2 linked regions of the Xenopus tropicalis genome follow. The protein of the gene in region 2 purifies or fractionates together with the protein of the main gene of each other region. This does not show direct contact. Links are inferred from orthologs where the notes say so. Each region holds a gene or a part of one and is shown on either strand. Other genes may lie near its edges.

Region 1 (2,696 bases), on a different chromosome or scaffold from region 2:
AACCAGTAACCAACCAGAAATGAAAGCAAAATGATTGCTTGCTCTACGCTTTCATTTTAGAGAACAATTTACTCAATTTTTGCGCATTGCTACCTAAGTTGGTAGTAAAATTATTGCATTTTTTCCACCTAAAACTTTCTGAGATAAATTTCCCAGTCACAATTTTTTACCATAAATTACATGAATCACTGCAAAATTAAAACTGCACAATTTAATAAATAGGGGAGGGCCATTTGTCCAAATTCAAATTTTTGTGTTTTTTTCAAACCACAATTAAAACAATAAATCAGTTATTAAAACAGCCTTATAAAAAAAAAGCACAAACAAAAAAAACACATGAAAACCACAAATTTTTCATGTTTTTTCAATAATGGAAAATCTGAAAAATCCCAAAACCTCTAATACCACAAAGCAAAAGAAGCTCTTCCAATTGGAAACAGGACAGCTGCCTACTGACTTGTACATGACGTTGATAGTTTCTAGATGGCGGTTTTCATGGTTTCAAGGTTTAGTGCAAAAAACATGATTTGTTAAAACAAATAAAATGTGAATTTTGGTAAATGCCCCCCTTTTTTGTATGGCAAGCTAATGGGAGCAATTCTATACCTATTTTTTTATAGAAACGAGGCATGAGTCTTATTATTAACCATCACTGGTAAGCAGTATGATATTAGCTACTCATAAATATAACATTAAATAGATAATAAATTTAAAGTACACACAGAAAGCTATGCTCATCTAATTCACCCCTATGTAATAAAGAAAAGGCTTGTTTTTATAAGGAGTTTATTCTTGCCAAAAACTGATATTTGTATAGCCAAGTATACCTAATAAATATCTGTGGGTGTATTCATTGTAACTAACATAAACAAAAAATATATAGAAATAAAAAAGTGTCCAGGCTGTTTAAATATACATTTTGGATAAGGAAAGCTATACCTGAAAGCACCAGTAATGTTAGAAATTGATGAACAAACTAACTCTTCTTAACCCCAAAGTTAGATTTTATTAACATGAATTAATTTAACCCAGAAAATGTTGATGTCCAGTAAAGTAATCAGTTTACAGTATCACATGAACAATCATACTAATTAGCACACAATTTAAATTTGTATTTTCACTTTTATATTCATCATAATATAGCAGGCTACTACATGGAGTACATCTTAAATAAATAGTCTAGTAAATTATATATCTATATATTTACAATAAGGGACACCTGTTAGTGTCATTTAAACAGTACATCTAGCCCTGTTTAGTTAACATAGCCTGCTTTACTTCAGAAACCTTTAGAATTCAACAGTGACTGATACTGATACCATGCTACATTGGGAACAACGTAATCATTTCTAGGGCTGGTTAATTCCATTGTAATGTATTGCCCACATAACACAAGCAAATCAAACTGGAGCTCTCATATTCTCATTTCATACATCTCACTTGACTTGATGACTTGAGAGTGGTTGGGCAGGAACTCTGCGGCCGCGCATATTCTTTTAAACAGAATCCCGCACTTTCCTATCTCTGCTGTACATTCTGTTTCCTTTTGAGTAATACATGTTCTTCTCTTGTACAAGGTGTTTAATGCTTTCAGTTCTCTTTCTGTCCGGTCATCCTCTGTACTTTTGGACTGCTATAAGCAACAAGCATGATCATTGGCATGTTTGCCATTAAACATACAAATAGTGGTTCTTTAACATAATATTTGGCCATTTCTGTGCTTGAAAAGGTTTTGTATAGTGAAGTGTAATTGCATCCAGGATATGAGTTGGCAATATGTAATATTGTATCAATGTGGACTTTGAGGACTTTTAGTGAAAATAATTCATGATGGGTAAATTTGGTTGGAAAGCCATATTCATTTGTATTTGAACAAGCCCTGCATGTTTATGTCAAAGCACGTACCGTGTTTAAAAAGTCAGGGATGCTACAGTGAGAAATAATGGAACTGACTTTCTCATTGAGATCTACATGTATTACAACACTGATGTCAGTTGGTATCATTGTTGGTTGCAGAATTCTGGAAAATGATCACACTGTATAACAGTTACATATTATGAGCAGGTCATATTCATATAGCTTGTTTTCAATTTTAACATTCAACACTGTCCATTGTATTAAGGTAAGTTATAATTCCTTTGAGCACTCCAACATTGTCAGAGTTTGTAAAGCCCGAAGAATGTCCTGGATTCATCAAAACCGACAAGTTTAACATCAGAGACATTGACATAGATTGTTTCATCCGTGGTGAAGTTAAACAGAGAGCCAAGGTAACTGTGCCTTCCCCATTTGTTATTGGAGGTGCAGTATTGATACTCTGTATTTTGCATCAGTATGAGCTCTCCAGGGTACCTCTTGGACTTCTTGTAGACAGTATGGGACAATTCTTTACTCTGGCAGGAAGTGCTTCTGAAGTAAATAGATGAATAAAGGAAGTACAGGCCAGTCTGGTTCACCACTAGACCTCTGTTTTTGTACTGGATGCCAGAGGTAAAAGCGCGTCCAAATGTTTCTTCCCATGCTAATGGCAAAGTGGGTCCTTCTTTACCTTCTTTACCTTCTTTACCTGAAAAGGTATTTTTAAAATAATAATAATATATATGGTAATGGGGCAGTACACACCTATATACATCCTCCCTCGGAATCAGTATAATATATAGGACTTCTGTTTAGTTTTAAATTTATTTTTTTTTTAA
Region 2 (3,837 bases):
TGAATGAGTTAATTGGATAGCTTACTTATTTAAGTAACAGTCAGAGCAGAGATCAGCATGAAAATTTATGCTTTCACATTTTTGGGGATGATTTCTGCTCTGTGTAGCTGTTCTCGGGCCAACTCAATACAGCTAGATACTGGACCGTATTGGAGTGGATCCGCTTCTTTCTGCCTGCCTACAAAATGCGGGCTGAAGAAAGCAGACCCTACAGTTAGTGTAACCTTGCCCTCTGGAGCGAGGCATCAGCCTGAAGGGGAGCTGGGTTTCGTTGTGCATGTTGCTGAGACTGGGGTGGGGTGTAGTGGATGGCTGATGAGGGCAGGGCTGATAAAGTGCACAGCAGCACATAATGGTTGTAAGGCATGCATAAACACAGTTACTTATACATTTCACAAGAGCAAAATGTTGTAGTTTATTAAAAAAAAAAAGTATTGTATTATGCTAATAACATATATAACATATGAGGCACTTTTCAGTAGTCAGGGGCCACTGTGAGGTCTTGTGTGCTAACCCCATGAACTCCTCACCAACTCCAAATAATATTCACAGGCTATAAGCAAGTTCAACAGCATAACAAAAATGCACCAGCCCCCCCACCTTCGGAGAGGCCAGGAACACAGCTGCCTAGCTGCCCCCTCATCCCTCCGACTCACAGGTGCGAGCGCCCCTCTGCTGATAATTTCCAGGACTAGAGCGGCTGTAGAGGAAGAAGAACCCATGGTCTGGACCCTGATCTCTGCCACTGAACTGGTGTTTAAGGAAAATGGGCCAAAATGCGACATATAATGCTGAAACTCTGGCTTAAAATCTGAGAAATGTTTACTTTAAAATATAGTATAAAATGAAGGGCCTTCAAAAAAATGTCCTGGAAGGATCCAGGAAAACAAAAATGGGGGGTTTGACTGTATATTAATTTACTAAATTTACTAAAACTGAATCTTTATATTTCTATATCTCTTTTGTTAGGTGGAGCTGACACTTACCCTGCACCTCTGCACTTTCTAAGATGGATTTCAATTCTATGCTTCTAAGTATTGATGATGGATTAGGACGAGAAGATATAGAGGCTTTAAAATTTCTCTGCAGGGATGTCCTCAGGAAAAATAAATTGTTGTCTGTACGGTCTGGCCAGGAACTTTTTCAGCAACTCATGACCGAAGATTTAATAAATGAGGACAATTTTTTTCTGTTAAAGGAACTTTTATACATTATTAATCACCACAGCCTCCTCCGTAATCTTGGCACAAATAAAGAGAAAGTGCAGAAAGCTCTTCCACGCCAGGGGAGAATATCACCTTATAGGTATGATGTCCTCTATTTCATATGGATTATATTATAAAACTAACAGATCAGGAAAAATAGTACACTAATAGGTTAAATTAAATTTTTAATTCATTATCCCGGTGGGCCCAGGTCCACCCCCTGCTGGCTTGAACTTGTGCCTTATAAAATAGATGCAACATGATGTGTGTGTGTGCGTGCATGTATGTATGGGGAGCTTGCTGTAAGTCCAACCTTGGGTACACTTATTATGGAGTGCTCCACTAGTATCCTGGGCTGGTACAATTTTCAGCAACATGGGGCTCCTGCCTGGGGACTCAAATAAGTGATTATCAGTGGGGGTAATGTTTGGTTACATTAACTGTGAATGTTCCAGATAAAACACTTTCTTTTTCATGCAGGTTTTAATCACACTAGGGATTTGCAATTGGTCTTTATTTTTTTTAAAAATTTGTTTTGGTAGTATCCCGGGCTAGTGCAGTTTTCAGCAAACTGGAGCATCTTTCTGAGGTCTCAGATAAGTCTTAGTCAGTGTGGGGTGCTTAACAAATTGCCACTCCCCAGTGATTGTTCTGCTTTTTAATAATTTGTTAAGTCAACTGAGCTTTATCAGTAGTTACTAGTAAAAAACATGATGTTCCAGATTAAATAATTTCTTTTAAATGCAGGTTTGAATCATTCTGGTGATTGGTAATTCGTCTTCGTTTTTCAATTTCTTGTTGTGTATTAATTATTTATTTTTTCCGCAGCTCCCCAGTATAGAATTTCGAATGTTATATGGTTGCACGGTTCTCTATTAATCTAGCAACCAAGAAGTGGTTAAAAAGATTGGAAAATGGTTAGAAGAGAGTCTGAATAGGCAGATAAGCAATAAAAAGTAACAATAATTATAAAACTTACGCTTTAAAAGGGCAAAAGGGGCATCTGCCCAGGGCCCATTGACTGTGCCACTTTTATTTTCTTGCTATCCCCCTGGCCCTAAGATATGTGACAAGTGTAACCCCCCTTACCACACCGGGTATTTACCAGCCAGCACACATATATAAAAGACATGCATATGCTAGAGTGTAACGGTTGACACGTGACAACGCACTGTAGGCAGTGCTTGTGGTTTTCAGCAACTATATGCTGTGACATAGCCAGGCCTGCTGGTGTGCAGCCTCAAAGGAGATATATGGGATAACTTAAACCCCCTCCAATCTTGTAGCAATAATGTATAATTTATGGTGCTGGTTTCACTTTGGTCTAACAAATTAATATTGTCTTTAAAAATGGCCCCTTTATTGGAGCTCCCTATAGATCTGCTACGGTCCCTGTCCCAAATAAGGGGTGGGTGGTCCCTGTCAGAAGCACAATAGTATGGTCTGCACAGCCCTGCAGTCACACAAGCAAAGACAGGCTTCAGTTCCCTCTCAGGTCAGTCTAACTGCTGATTGGTTCCTATCCTACAGTGTAAATGCCACCATTCCCCCCCCCCCCCTGCACAGCCTAGGAAAGGAGAGTGCATGAAGTGGAACAGTTGGGCAAGACTACCAGGGTTTTTGCAGATTTTTTTTACTAAACACAACTATTTAAAGTACATTCCTTTTATATTTAAAGGAGAAGGAAATTTAAATCACTAATAAATGTACTGGCCCAGGATATTTCTGCAGATAAAACTTGTCGCCATCTTCTTCGGAATGTTCCCTCTTCTTTTCATTCCAGTTGTGGCAGGCACATGCGCAGTAAAGGGAAAGCCGAACTTAGAAAGAAAAGGTAAGACTCTTTGACTGTAATGCGCATGCCCGTGCTCCGGTGAAAAGAAGAGAAGGACAAATTATTGTGCAGAAATACCCCAGTCTGGTGCAGTTTTCTGCTAACAGGGTTAGTATCAGGTAAGCTATTACAATCACTGCCTACTCCCTAGTGATTTAGACTTTCCCTCTCCTTTAACCCTTTAAGTGCCACACAACATACTATCTGGGTTTGGGAGCGGAGGAGCACTTGTTCCGTTCCTTCCCCAGCCCCTAGGCAACGAGTAGAGGTGGGGAACAAATGGCCCCTGGGGCATGATCACCCAGGGGCCCCTAGGCAACAGCAAGCACGTGGTTACTATGTGCCTGCTGTTGCTTGCACTTTCTACCCACCCCCCCCAGTGCGAATACTCATAGAATCTGCAGGAAAGATGGCTCCTCCTGTTCCTGGGTTCCTCCTGTGAATCTCTAGCCTGCTTCTCTAGCCTCCCCAGGTTAATGTCACATACACATGCAAACACACACTTACTACACTAATACACACTTATACTTACACGCACATATACATTTTGGGGGGATTTAACACATTCACAGCACTCACACTTAGGGGCTAATTTACTTATTTACGAACGCCCCGACCGTTCGCTCGATCGGTCCAATCATATTTTCCGCGACTTTTTCGTACCTTGCATGACTTTTTCGGCGCTTGTGCGACTTTTTCGTATTTTCAGTGCGAAAAAATTGGATTGGATTTGCCGCTGTTTACAATAGTTCGGTACGAAAATTTTGTGACTTTCGGATCACAATACGATATTATCAT

Evidence for each region.
Region 1: the proteins of casp10 (region 2) and faslg purify together in Homo sapiens (co-immunoprecipitation; 3 studies listed by BioGRID and IntAct, with this or other methods). This does not show direct contact. The link is inferred for Xenopus tropicalis from reciprocal best matches to the Homo sapiens genes CASP10 and FASLG.

Annotation. Positions count from the first base shown.
Region 1 is NC_030680.2:107,203,427-107,206,122, forward strand, and holds the end of faslg (tumor necrosis factor ligand superfamily member 6), read right to left. Parts: intron 2,567-2,696; coding exon 2,157-2,566; 3' UTR 786-2,156; downstream 1-785. UniProt on the Homo sapiens protein: Cytokine that binds to TNFRSF6/FAS, a receptor that transduces the apoptotic signal into cells. Involved in cytotoxic T-cell-mediated apoptosis, natural killer cell-mediated apoptosis and in T-cell development.
Region 2 is NC_030685.2:53,955,002-53,958,838, reverse strand, and holds part of casp10 (caspase-10), read left to right. Parts: intron 1-969; 5' UTR 970-1,009; coding exon 1,010-1,305; intron 1,306-2,988; coding exon 2,989-3,039; intron 3,040-3,837. UniProt on the Homo sapiens protein: Involved in the activation cascade of caspases responsible for apoptosis execution. Recruited to both Fas- and TNFR-1 receptors in a FADD dependent manner. May participate in the granzyme B apoptotic pathways.